Linked DNA regions of Bombyx mori. The protein of the gene in region 1 purifies or fractionates together with the protein of each later gene. This does not show direct contact. Links are inferred from orthologs where the notes say so. Each region holds a gene or a part of one and is shown in the gene's direction. Other genes may lie near its edges.

Region 1 (7,459 bases):
TCCAGAGTAAGTTTAAATTTTTCATTAAGACTAATTTGAGAAGGCTGATTCGGTATTTTCAAGTTTTTTTCCCACAATTTTTTTATAATAATATTGTGTTTTTGCGTCATATAAATCGTTCCTTACATTATACTATAAAATTGCAATGCATCATGAAAGCAAAATTTCGCGTGGTATTTTTAGTCCTACAGGTACGTCCGTTTATTTGCCTTCTTCTCGTGTTATTTTCATATTAAGCTTATCTGGCTCTAACAAACCATCTGTAACTGAATATTTCATAATCGTTATTCCAAATTAAAAGATAGGAAGTATGATTTTTCACTTTGTCAAAATATGTGGAACTACAAACACTATAAGATATTTTAAAATTATTGAAATTTTATATTTGTTACAGTACACATAAATGTCTGAGTAAAAAATGTGCAGTTATAAAATATAAAAAAAATATCATGATAGACATTGTAAAGTAAAATAAAAATTATGATTATTAGATACTTAACACACCATATCTATTTCGTTAATAATCCACACACAAGTTTTGTTTTAGAGGAAAAAAAGTCTTTAAATTAATAAAATACAGTTAAGCACTTACAGGATCTGACATCTGATCAGACATCAGATTGTAAATACCATTGTCCTTGAGATATCCTTTTTTAAGTTACAATCTTTTTGTGTACTAGGCATCTCAGTGTTTGGATCAGTAAACACAACTTTAGACCAGAAATAAGATTATGTTATACAACTGAGTTAGACCTCAAGTTGGGTGGTGGCATTCATATAGATATGTCTATGGGCTCATACCGGGAGGGCTGTGAGATTGTTCACCTATTTAACCAATAAAAAAGTATGCAGAATAGTGATCTACTTGTGAATTTTACATTAAGCATTTCTTAAAAAATATATATATAAGTATATATATTGTATAATTACTGGTGGTGGAAGCAGTAATGTGTTTCTATTTTCAAGGGTGGAGCAACCATTGCAATTTTATAACTAAAACCTTAAAATTCATGTCTCAAGGTGGGTGGCTGCATTTATGTTGTTGATGTTTATGGGTTCTAGTAATTTCTTAACACAAAATGGGCCGTGAGTGCGTCAACTCATCTCAGAAACAAATAAAAAGACCGAATTAAAAAAAACCGTAATAATATCTTACAGGAAAAATCTGTCACGGATCATTTCCCAATTAAATATAAATTAATCTTAAGCAATCAATCAAATGTAATCAAATCTTTTTTTATTTTTTATATTTTTGTAGTTAATGAACTGTCAATTGTACCTATAATTGAGGTGACATCTGTTATGAACTTTTGTCAATTGTTCAATGTTTTGTATTGATGATCACTTTGTTGATGCAATTTAATAAATAAATAAAATAAATATTGATACACTTAATTATATTTGTTCCAATAAAAACTTTTACAATCTTGGGCTTCATCTCTGCCCAGTTTTAAATTGAATAATCAGAAAGAATTGTTTTAACAAAACATAGCTGTACACAGTGCACACTTTATACACACATACATTAACATCAATTATTATATTGTCATTTGGAGGACGTTTACAAATTTACTGATTTATTTGTCTGCCTTTGGATGATGCAAGAATGCATTGAATTGTGTACGTTAGATATGTTCAATTTTTTATGCAAATGAAATAATCAATTATACAGCTTTATAACTTTTATTATATTAATTGAACAAAGATTGTTGGTTGACTTAAGTTGAGGGAGTCACATACTAATTAAAACTAATTATAATTCAATATTTTGTAGTCTCATGGTCAGGGTCATTGTATGTAAAGTATTCAAAATGACTGAAATAATAAAATGAAAAATAATAAAAACGAGTTTAAACCTCATAAGTAGGTAGCTTTAATTATGTTGAGAGAACAGAATAAAGTACCAAGTCACATTCTGTATTGAATATACAGTTATTTTGTAGCACACAATTGTCTCAAGATGAGTGATGACACTTGTCATGAGCCTTCTCAACTTCTCAATAGATGGGCCAGATGCTCACCTTGCTATCATCTGAGCGATATTATCATACCGTATCTAAGCATCTAAGTAATAACAGAACTAAAAATCAAACCAACATAAATTGTAATAATAGTTATTGCGATAAAAACCTCAAGTCTAAAGATGGTGGCGTTTGAATTATGTTGCTTGTGGGCTCAAGTAACCACTCAACATTTAGCTAATCAATCGGGGAAATCTGCCACTTTGTGCTAAGCAATCTATTTTCTGTTATTATTGTGTAGCATGATCTGGATCTGGTGTTTAACAATTATTGATGAACTATATTCTAGAAGGCACATTATTGAACAATTTAGTATTGAAAGTCACACCAAAACTCACTTACAGAAAATAATAGTTATTTACTTCAAATCTGAATATTCCATAAACAATATGAAAAAGTTTTAAGCAAAATTAATTTGTGAAGAATTAATAAGAAATAAATGAGCATTTCAGGAATTCAGTACTACGTACCTAACACATGAATGGCTGTATTGATGAAGGAATAACATTGTGTAATAACATTCATACCTTCAAGAATTGTAATATGCATAGTTAATGGACACTTAAGAAATATACCTTAAGTCTTAAGGCAATATTCACTTTGTGATAATGTAATCACTTAATACCCGTAGATTCTTGAGCTGGTTCAACTGTAGATACAATAAAACTTCTTTGTTTAATAGTACTACTCAAATAGTTAGGTAGAATGATTAGAAGTTGCTGAATGGAGCAGAAGTAATCTAATGTAGCAGTTAAGGTATCGAGCTGCCCATACATCTTATAAAATTCAAATTTTTCTTTTTCAGGAACATCATAGTGAATCAACCATCAGATCCATTGTCAAGGTGGTTCACAGACTGCTGCGTTTCACCACAATTCATAGTTATAAAACTGGACTCTCCCTCTATAGTTGAAACAATCAAATTCGGAAAATATATCAAGGCACTCGTTAGTGATCTCAAAAAGTTTCAGGTCTATGGTGGAACAGAAGATAGCAATATGTCTCTGCTGTTGACTGCGTGAGTTGTTGGCTTGTTTGTATAGGATAATAAGCTATTTTCATTTTGTAATAATTAATTAAGCAAGACTAAGTAATTTGTTGTAAATTGGACTTGACGTATATACAGTTATAATAACACAAACACTTTCAGGCATATTGAGAAAACACTTTCTAACGTTTTATATCTTGATGGTTTTTTTCACAAGTGAGTCGTCTATTATCAAAGGTGGCAATCTGTGCATTTGGACAAAAAAATGTTATTGATATGTCAATACAGATTGATTTGAATATAATTGTCTCCTTCAAAGAATACGGTTCAAAACCTGCATTAAATAAAGATTAATACTTAACCTGTTATTTATCTAAGATGTCGTTCAGAAGAGTTTTGTGACTGCCAATGGAATACAAAGTCAATAATTCGTTTTTCTGATTTACCAGTAATTGTCCAAAAGTCACATTGCCGGCTTTGATATTAGTCGACTCAAGTATAAGTTAGCAATTGTAATAATATATAATAATAATAATAATAAGCCTCAAGCTGTCAAGACTATAATGAACAAGGATCCACATAACCAAGATTGCTCTGTCAAGAGCAACTGACTATGATGAAGCTGGTTAACTTGTGGTGTAACAATTTGCGCTCATAGCAATTCTCAATATTTACTGAATGGAATTTTCATCCTGAGTCTTTGAGTGAATGCTGTTTGCACCAGGCTTATTATTGGGCTATGCTCCCGTTATTTGATCTCCATTTGAAATACTCTGAAACATACATAACGGCCGTCTGGTGTAGTGGTAAGTGACATGGTCACTGCACAAGGGGGTCGCGGGTTCGAATCCCGCCAAGGGAAGATATTTGTATGATAAATATAAATGTCTTTCCAGGGTTATGGGTGTATATAAAGTATATGTATGTGTATAATAAAAATCTTACATTTATTTCCGTTAGCTGGTACCTGTAACACAAGTTCTTTACGAACTTATCACGGGACCAGTTAACGTGGCGTGATTGTTAATAAATATTTATATTTATTTATTTATTTATACTAGAAATGAAATTTGTAATTATTCACAGTGGCTTGAAGAAAGACAGTACACCGGAAACATTCAGATTGAGGCACAGGACACAGGAAGGATTTTACTTCCCTGTTGAATACCTAAAGATTGTCCCACTACAGTCGTGGGGCCCTCCCTACAATTATACCATATGGTACATAGAGTTACATGGCAAAAATCAGGCAGAACTTCTCAATGAGGCACTGGAGACAATTTATTTGGTAGGTTTATAATTTTTTTTAACGTGTTTTAAAAATGCGTTAACTTGCCATTTGAAATGAACACATATTGTATATCATAATTTACAGCGTAAAGAAGAAGAAGCAGTGCGATTGTTACTAAAACACTTGAGGCGGAGACGCTACAAGGATGCTTTCGAAGCTTTGTCTAGAGAAAGCGGAGTGCAGCTCGAAGGGCCAACACAGACTAAACTCTGGAACGCTTTAGTCGAGAATGGTGACTATCAGGCGGCCGAGAAAATTTTCGAACAAGCCGTTAATGGTGAGATATGAAATTCATAATTTAAAAAAAAACAAAATCAAAAAGTTTTTATTCACCTAGGCCTTCGAGGGCTTTTAAAATGTTGTGCAAGAAACTCTAGAGTTATCTGACTTTAAATAAATGTCCAAAGATGTATGTATAAATATCGGAACATTGTTGAAAAGTCCAGATTATTATAATAAGAACCCAACTCGAAAAACTAGGCCTGGTTTATCAAGTACTAAACAATGTTCTGTCCGTCTTGTTACTATATATTAGGGAAAGTAAAGTAATTAGGACATCGCCTAAAAAAAAAGTATAAGTGATTCGTTGTACACGCATCGTCCAGGCAATACTGTTGTTAAATTAATGTACATTAAGGTCTTCACAGATAATTAAAAACATTGTTACTCTATACCTCTGTTCTCTGTGCCTTTATCAATGCCCCGTCTAGCTGAATCGGAAGAAAATAGTCCTTTTCTTTCATTCCGTTTGAAAAGGAAGTTGTGGCGAAACCTTTAGTTCCGTCACGCGCATGCGCCGCTAAAAAATTCAGGGAGGCCATGACCCCCGCCATAAGTAAACAGATTGTACATCTATACATATTATAAATAAAATTGGAGTGTCTGTTTGTAATATTGAAATAACCGCTTTTTATATATGCGGTACGGTACATACACCAAAATAGCATTCTTTACAATTGTTGTCTGTCTGTCTATCTGTCAGTTTGTTCCGGCTAATCTCTGGAATGGCTGGATCGATTTCGACGAGACTTTCACTGATAGGTAGCTGATGATATAAGGAGTAACTTAGGCTACATGACATAGAACATTTTATTATTTTATTTAGAGCCGCTTTTATATAAGCATTCTAAAAAGTAAAGAAAAAAAAACATGTGTGCAATTCACACGTGGTAGAAGTGAAACCTTCCAAAATTAAAATACAATTATCCTAAACGTCTTAAGTATATGTAAAATTTTGTCATTAGTAAATAACTGTAAGGTAGCGCCCTCTGTGAATTGATATTTTAATTTCACGTATAATCCTAAATTAAAATTCACTACAAGAGCATACACACGTTAGTATTAAAAAATCTCACAGATGGCGCTGTATTAAATAGTATGTATATTTCTGTCTCATTCTTTGCTGGCTTCATCCTACACATTTTTGTATTTGTGTCTCTTACCTGTCGTTTTTTCCGTTGCATCCGGTTTGAAATCACAACGATTCTAAAGAAGTTTTCACTTCAATAAAAATATTCGTGTCGTCGGTGCAGATGGCGAGTTAGAGTGGTACATGTCGTGGCAGCCGTACCGGCCGGAGTGGCGCGAGATGTCGGCGTGCTCGGCGCAGGTGGAGGAGCGGCTGCGCAGCGGGGACGCGCACGTGGCCGGGCCCCCCGCCGCCCCGCACGACTTGTTGTGCGCCGACCGCGAGCCCAGGCCCGACGCCGCCGTAAGTCGCGCTACTTGACTCGCCCTCAACTTATCTTATACCTTTAAACGAGCAATTCTTGTATATATATGTATATACAGTCAAACCTGCGTAAGTGAGAAAACTCTATGAGTGAGAGTAATAGCCAGGACCCGTCATTTTAAGCTCCCAAAACCTCTATTAGCGAGAAACAGAATCCTCTGTAAGAGAGAGTCGTTTTTCTCTCATGGACCTCCGTAAGTGAGACTGCTACTTATCTATACCTCTATAAGCGACAGTCGAACTTTATTTATTTATATTATTTAGGAGGAACAAATGACAAAACAAATTACAAATTTAACATCTGCTATTTTATGACCCATTCTTAGCTTTCGTGGAACTTCTTAACATTGTTTTTGTATTGTTTTCTCGTCAATATTGAACCTATTCTATTTCGTGGAACTAAATTACATTGTTATTTTATCGTATTCTTTTCGAATGGACACGTATGCTGCCTATGTACCGTCCTGTTTGTCGGACTTAGTCACTTTATCGTTAATCAATTGCGAAGGAAAGTTCTGTTCTGCATCATGTCAAAACGGAAAATTAATGTACTGTCATTAAGTGATAAACTTAAAATAGTGAATGCGTTTGAATCCGGAAAATCGCGAAATGAAATTAAGAGGGTGCATTAGCGAAGAAACTCGGGTTAGTGAGAAACCTCTATAAGCGAGAATGAGATTGTGCTCCCTTGAACTCTCGCTTATCCAGGTTTAACTGTATATATAATCTGAATCGGAGACGGTTGGAGCCTTCTCCGAGATTTTCCGATTTTCATAAATAAATAATAATAATAAATAAATAATTTATTTTTAATTTTTTAGCTAAATTTTCTATAAAAGCCTATTTTTAAAACTTAAGTACTTTAACATCAATTCCTGCCTTATCGACTATAGATATAAATTATATAAATTAGCAAAAATCTTATTTTGCAAATTGAATAATGGAATAATCTTATCAAATTAGTGTATTGTCATCGGTCCTCGATAAATTTACAAAGTTTGAAGGAAATCTGGCCGTTTAAAGTGGGTCAAAATCGTGTCTAAAGGCGTCAGTGTGTTTGTAACATACATACAAGTGAAGCTAATATAAAGCGTGTAAAAAAAATCGTTTCTTGAATTGTCGACACCAGGGTGCAGCACCAGTAAGCAACGAGCTGTTCGAGACGTGTGACCTGGCCTGCGGCCTCACCGCCTGCTGCAACAAGCCTGGCCCCAGGGGCGGACACCAGCTGGTGGTCGATTCTACTACGGGTGAGGAAATTATTATGTACTAGCTGTACCCGTCCGCTTCGCTGGACATTTAAAATTAACATTATTATTTCTCACCCCCACAAAGATTCACATCATTAACGCCCCCGCAACTGGTGTAGGGAGTCCAACACTCATATAAATATTAGTCTATCCATTAAGTACATGTATTTTCTACAT
Region 2 (7,559 bases), on another chromosome or scaffold:
TATCAATTCACAGAGTGCGTTACCTTACAATTATTTACTAATGACAAAAATTTTCATATACTTAAGACGTTTAGGATAATTGTATTTTAATTTTGGAAGGTTTCACTTCTACCACGTGTGAATTGCACACATTTTGTTTTTTTTTTACTAAGAAATTTTCTACTGATGACTTCAAGGCCAACTTCACGGTATAATCATACATACGTGAAGATAAGACGCAAGTGCCGACACTCGCATACATGTAACTATTGTTAGGTGCCATTATACGTTTATCATCCAATTGACGGACGGGTAGAAATAGCCACTTAAACTTTGCTATGTAAAAAATTGGGTTGGCAAATTATGCTCGGTTGCTAAAAGAAAAATGACAATTTTATGGAACAAATTTGAAGTAAAATAATTCCTATGATTATGAAACTCAATCATGAACCATAGAAATATATATTTTAACTACATACTACACTTAAATTCTTAGTGCTTAAAGTTGATGGAAGTTTTTTTCTTTTTTTTTTATTGCCCTTGTAGGCATACGAGCATACGCCTCACCTGACGGTGAGTGATTACCATCGCCCATGGACTTCAGCAATGCCAGGGGCAGAGCCAAGCCGCTGCCTACCATTGAGTATTCTCCACAAGCCTCGTTTGAAGAAGGACAAGTCATAGCGCTCAGAAAACACTGTGGAGGGAAGCTTATTCCAAAGTGAGACTAAAAGGGGTCTTGCAGCCCCAAGTTATTACTAACTTCTGCGGGAACTGTCTGCAAACTCTCTAATCGCTCACCTCATTTCGTTCTAATACCTATACTAAGCACAGAGGACCACCATGGTCATTACTCTGTCATATCTATTAGCCACAATAATTAGAGTTCTACTGAGATTTACATTTTATGTTTCAAGATGAAAAACTGCACAATTGTAGTTTTTAGGTTCCGATAACCACTTGACTAGGAGGAACATGATGCCAGTCCATGTATGAACAATTTCTTTTTATTTAAATCAATATTTTGTATGACTTATACGAGTAAGCACATGTAATTAAATTTAATTCTGTCATAGAATACTATTCGTGCTCTGCCCAGCTAATAAACAGAAAAATCTCACCACTAACATAAACTTCACCACTACACCGTCATTTCTCATAAATAGATGATAAGCTAATACATTAAAGGTTCACTCATTGTCCAGAGGATTTTAAACAATCTGACTTTTTAATGAAAATATGTTGCTCTATATTGTTAATTTAATAATTACATATAATTAGTATAACTAATATGTACATAAGTGACAGTTTTGCCCTAGTATATACACACACACCAATCATGATATTGTCATTGGCCAATATTTGCCCTTTTACAATCTATATTGACACACAATCCACTAAAGTATGGAGGATACAATATATTAGAGACAGTAAAATTAGGTCGGCTCCTGTTTATCTTTAAAGGACCCTGCTTATTTAATGAGTATCAAGACTACAATACAATAATTAACTTAATTTGATTTAAATGAATGAAATGAAAATGAATAATTCAGTTAGATAAACCAACACAAAACAAATTACCACATTACTGTTCGACTTGAAGAAGTTTAATTTTCTCTTGATTATTTTTGCGATTAAGAAGACCTAGAAGTCTGGGTAAATATATCCAGAAATATAAATCAATTAAATTATTCATTCCTTAAACTGTATTTACTTAATCATATGAAACATTTAAAAAAAGATTTCTGTTTTAAGTTTTATTTCTAAAGGCTATGAAAAGTTCACATAATATTAAAACACAATGTATATTTAGGGATAGTTAAGATCCAAATCCAAACTTTCATCGATTTGCAATAGCAAAGTTAAATGAGTGACTAATCATTCCGAAGAACATTTTAGTGTTTTAGAAAATAAAAGTTGTAGAAGTAGTATCTTTCATCAGTATCAATATCTTGAGTGCTGTTATTCTAAATAATTTTCAAATTTTTTGTAAGAGAAATTCATATTTTCTTTTTAGTTAAAATAACTTTATATTGCTTTCCGCCAGTTTAGTTGTGTACTTGATTTAATATTAGTGATTTAAATATTTTAGTTGTGTTACCTCAAAAGTATTTTTATAATAGCAAAATTTGCAAATAGACACTCGGTTCATGTTTAAAAGTTTTGTTATTTTGTAGCATCGTAAACAATATTTCGGCCAATCTCACCTCGTGACATTTAATTGTACAAATTCCAGAGTTATCAGCTCACACACATCACAACCTCACAATTGTCACAAGTTTATTGAAACCGAACTAAATGCTTGATTCTCATTTTAACGACTATTAGTGTTAAGTAATATGAGTCTAAATTCTAGGTAGAGTTTTCTAGAATAGCCGAATCACGATCAACACGTTCTCGTGCGAGCAAGAGATGACGCGTCGGCGTCGCCGCGGGAATGTCGTCGGTCCTCATCGCCACGGCGAGGCAATCACCGCGCACCGATACTATCCGCTTCGACGCTACTTTCAACTTAGCAATTTCGTCAAAGTCAACATAAATAACACTTCGAGTTTATACCTCGCATCACCAAAATTTAAGTCGTTTAGAAAATTAACTTACCGTAAATAAGCGAAATCCAACAACAAAGACCAGCCACGCGCTCCTATTACAGGACACTCACAAATCACGAATGCACAAGGTATATGAGTAAACTAAAATCACAAAATCGTCAATTTTATGAACAGCCGGCTTGCTGAGTCAGTTAGAAGAAAGTTCTTCAGTTTATCGTAGGTAAATTCACTAAACGAAGAAACTAAGCCGCGAAGCACCGCCAGCTACATACAAAATGGCGGATTTGCGTAACGAAAGTGACGCGCTGACGCGCCGATGCTGACAAATAATGGTAGAGTCAGTTAATATTTGTCTATGACAAGTAATTTGACGGCTTTGTTGTAGTCGATTTTGCTTAAAACCGATTTCGTCGCCTTCAGTAAAATTTAACTTTTAAATCTACACAAACACAAAAATATATTTGATTTTTTTACAGAAATAACTATTACAAATTACCCTATCGTTAAAATTCAATATAGATATAAAACTATAAACATATTTGATATTTTTAACAATCAATCAATTCAATTTTGGACACAAACAACGTCGTTTGAATTCGTCGCTTGGCTTAAACCATAACCAATCACCATCAGGTGGGCCATATGCTCGTCTACCTACAACGGCAACAAAAAAAATAAAAAAAGTTAGGATTGGACGAATGATTCATTAAGTTTCCACTAACTTGCGGGGGAAGTTCAAAACGTACAAGTCAAATACCTTTAGCTGTGCGTTGGAATCTGGCCTTCCGGCTTCTATCTTCCTTCTTACTTCTTGTATCCTCACCGCTGAGGGTCATGACTTTTGTGGAGTAGTTTCTGATGGGTTACTTTTTAGCACACTGCAATAAGTCTCCGGTGGAAGAGTGGATAAACATCGGACTAGTTTTATTTCAAATAATTGTAAGTAGTAATAACACGTAGTAACAAATAGTAATATTAACATATTGGGTACACAATCCAACATTTTGTTATTATCTTAACGTTAAAATAGAAGAATAATTAACACGGACGGAATATATTATGCAGTTACCTTATACAAATAGTTTTTTTCAGCATTAGTATGTTAATTTCTGAATCTTGTTCCATATTATTAAAATATCTGTGACAAGCATGTATAAATCATAGATAGCCAAAATTATGATGGGATATACTCGGGTCCTTCCTAAAAGTCAGAGTACTGAAATCCAGCTTATTATTTCATTTCATCTCATGTCATTACATTTTATTTGATTTCATTCAATTTCCTTTTGGTATTGCCGATAGTTCAACTTTTTCATTCCGCTCCTTTTCATTTTTCGAATTAAAAATGTAGGTATGTGAATCATAAAAATTGAAGAACTAAACTCGATACTGGCAGCAATGACATCTTAAAAAAACCGTCTGCCATACTGAAAAAAATAAGAATGTATTGTCTTTGGTTTGCGTTCTGAAATAAAGAAGACTTGAGAAATTTTCTTCATTAAAAGCTGTTTCTGGGGAAGAAATTACAATTATTGGGCAAATTATACATATATTAAGATAAAGAGATACTGGAGGAGATTGCGAAAACAGTTGTTTTAATCTTTAAATGGAAGAGTTTTAGAGGAAAGAAAACAACTGTTGAACTCAGCAGGCAACTATTTTTGAACTTGAAAATCAATCCTTCATCTCTGTGAAATCGCTTGCAAATGACAGAGACAAAATACAAATTTAGCTTGCTCAACTCGCTGGCTGATGAACCACAGGAACATTTGTTTGTCAAAAGAAAAAGATACCCACAACGCAAGGAGTTGATTAAAGGCTCGAATTCAATGAATTAGAGTTAGTATTATTTATTCGGATTTTACGCTTAATGAACTATCATGAAATCAGATTTCAAGTGAAATTATTTGTTTTTGAAAAGTTTCCATTACATTGCGGAATTAATTATATTGCAAGTATTCATTACGTCGTGGTTTTGCGTCCATTTACAAATATTAAGTCAGCTGAGTTTTGTTTTTATTTATATAGGTCATAATTTTGCAATCATCAGCCCGCTCAGACGAATATCGTTTTCAAAATGAATGAGATCAAATCTATGGAGCATGCGACATTGAAGGTAAGTTTAAAATTGTCTATAAAAATGACATCAGCCCTTTTTCTACATGATGGATCGAAACAGATCGATTTAAAAGCCTCGAATATTCGAGTATAAAAAATATGGCAAAAAACTATTCTTAAATTACGAAACTCCAATATTTTTTTATATATTACAAATTAAGTTTATCACAAAAAGGACTTGATATTGCAATATCAAGCATAATTAAGCATTGTATTGATGGTAGGGCATATTGTAAGCTCGCAAGTATAGGTAGCACATATAATTTCTAAAAACAATAAACCATCAAAACTAAAAACTAAACCAACTAAAAGCTAAAAACTAACCAACTAAAAGCTAAAAACTAACCAACTAAAAGCTAAAAACTAATTAAAACTAACTGTAAAAATAAACCAACTGCACAGTTTAAAACGCCATTAATTTATTTTTGGTATATAGGAAGTATAAGCAAATAAGGAAATGAGTATAGCATATATTTAGAATAATTTAGATGATATAAAATGACCGAGAACATGATGTAGAAAATTAATATTGTGAACAAATGTTGTAACAATGGCATAAGCATCTCAGATGAAGTCATTGACTGCTTGGTGAGGTCTGATAATAATGCTTAAATAGATATTTATTTTTGCAATAAAAACAGGTTAGCTTACTTGCAAACTTTTCTAAACAGGTGTTTGGATCATTTCTTCCATCAAAGAATTTTTTTTTATTTTATAGTTTCTACATTTTACAATGTATATAATAATATAATACAATACAATATAATAATAACAGTAATATTTAGTAATTAATTCACATGCTAAATATATTACCATTTTAAATTAGACAAATTGACAAATTTTAGCAGCTATGTAGTGATTACCAGAAAAAATTTAATTATAATAAACAAAGTGAAACTAATGTAGGCAACATAATTATGTCATAGATACTACTAGGACTAGTAGTCATTATCATCATCATCTAGGACTAGTGGTGCTACTAGTAGTAGATGGTGAGTTTTTGGTTGTAGAGGTGAAGTCCCGCAATTAGACCAGTGATGGTAAACATGCCTACTGAATTTTGGCAATGAATGGATGCTTCTTTAGTAACTTGTAATAGTCTTCTCAGCGTTCTTACATCCATTGATATGGGGGCGTTTTTCCTCACCCAAGCAAACGGCTTTCTTGCTTAAATGTAAATACAATAAATCAAATTTGGAATTGATTTTGAACATTTGAATTATAACATTTGCTTAAAAATCTGTTCAAGGACTCTCTGTCATGGAAATGTGAACAGAAGTGTAAACTACAATTTATTATTTTAATCACAGTTTGCAGCTTAAGAATTATGTAACAAAACTATGTATGTATGTATGTACATCAACAATATATATTATAGTATGTATTGTAACTATAATATTGAACTCTTACTATTTACTTAATAATTAAAATCATATCATATCATATCTTTTGAAAGGGCTTGTATTTTTTGTCATAGACTATAAAATGAATCTCATAATAATGAAAGATAATTAGTTATTACTTAAATAGGTACTTAAATATGATAGGTAAGCAATAGGTAAATATAATATTATTAGAATTATTGTTTTTTGAAAACATTACTGATGAATCAGAATTGTAAAATATTCTGTTGCTTTTTAAAACTATATTTGAGTTAGAGAGCTTCTATAAAAGTCCATTGTAACATCTGCCACATAGTCATGATCAAATCTAAATATTTCGCTTGTATTATCACAGAGCTGTAAAAATGTGATTTGAATTTCACCATCGTTTACAGCAACCTTATCAATAACACTCATATTTTTACTCAACAATTTCATTGAACAAAGGATGATTGCAAGTTATTTTATAGATGTTGTCAGTGTCAAAGAATTATTGAATAGGTAGGTAATAGGCAGTAGGCAGAGGCCTGGCTCTGCCCCTGGCATTGCTGAGGTCTATTAGCGACGGTAACCACTCACCATCAGGTGGGCCGTATGCTCGTCTGCCTACAAGGGCAACAAAAAAATAATAATGTACTGCCTATTTACATTTTGAAAAGAAAAGTTTCTATGGGCATTCCAGAAGCTTGTGTGCATGGATCTGCACTGTCATACATATTTCTGCCACAGTTCAACTGTTCTTAAATGTAGAGTAATTCCTGGTATTGTCATGTTTATGAGCTCATAGGCATGTTATATAATAAATGAGGCTCTATCATCATCTTTTCACTGAATTTGAAGGAAAGTTTTATAAGCAACATGTTTATCTTACAACATTGCCTAGGTAGCCCTAAATTTCACATTGCTTTACAGATTTTTTCGTTTTCATTCTTCGGGATGGACGAGAATTCAAGTGAAGAGTATAAGCTCTTAAATAGGAAATAGTTATGTGGTCCCTACTCATGTGGGCAGACATCTTACCACCAGTAAATTCTATAATATTATTGCTATAATGTATGCCATGTTAGTAAATGTATGCATAATATAGTATGTGGTAAAGTAATAATGAACAAAAAATAAACTAAACATATATTATGTTCTCAGATATATAGAATTAACACAATTAAATCACTGTTCAGTTATACTTGATGATTTTTTAGTTACTTAAGTTTTTGTTCTAATAGATCTTTAAAGACTCGATAGAGTTATGATTAATAGAACTTTTTTTTTTTTAATTTAGTATAGATTTTCTGAAATTTGTTACTCGAATGGAATTGTAAAATTTTGGTATTAATAGTTTTACAATGTATAAAATAAATAAAATTATTAATAATGCTGTCAACTATTGCAATGTCATTTGTACAATTGAGGGGATCTTAATATGAACCTTCTTTTCTATTCACCTATATTCTGAATTAGTGCTCACTATGTTGTTATAGCTAATTAAATAAATAAATAAATGAAGACTTTTCAATTGAAGATAAGTTTT

Evidence for each region.
Region 2: the proteins of muskelin (region 1) and E3 ubiquitin-protein transferase MAEA purify together in Homo sapiens (affinity purification with western blotting; 3 studies listed by BioGRID and IntAct, with this or other methods). This does not show direct contact. The link is inferred for Bombyx mori from reciprocal best matches to the Homo sapiens genes MKLN1 and MAEA.

The regions. Positions count from the first base shown.
Region 1 is NC_085125.1:2,155,130-2,162,588, reverse strand, and holds part of muskelin, read left to right. Parts: coding exon 1-6; intron 7-2,826; coding exon 2,827-3,039; intron 3,040-4,095; coding exon 4,096-4,297; intron 4,298-4,384; coding exon 4,385-4,577; intron 4,578-5,832; coding exon 5,833-6,011; intron 6,012-7,161; coding exon 7,162-7,282; intron 7,283-7,459. UniProt on the Homo sapiens protein: Component of the CTLH E3 ubiquitin-protein ligase complex that selectively accepts ubiquitin from UBE2H and mediates ubiquitination and subsequent proteasomal degradation of the transcription factor HBP1.
Region 2 is NC_085132.1:9,957,915-9,965,473, reverse strand, and holds the start of E3 ubiquitin-protein transferase MAEA, read left to right. Parts: upstream 1-4,016; 5' UTR 4,017-4,482; intron 4,483-4,559; 5' UTR 4,560-4,608; coding exon 4,609-4,647; intron 4,648-7,559.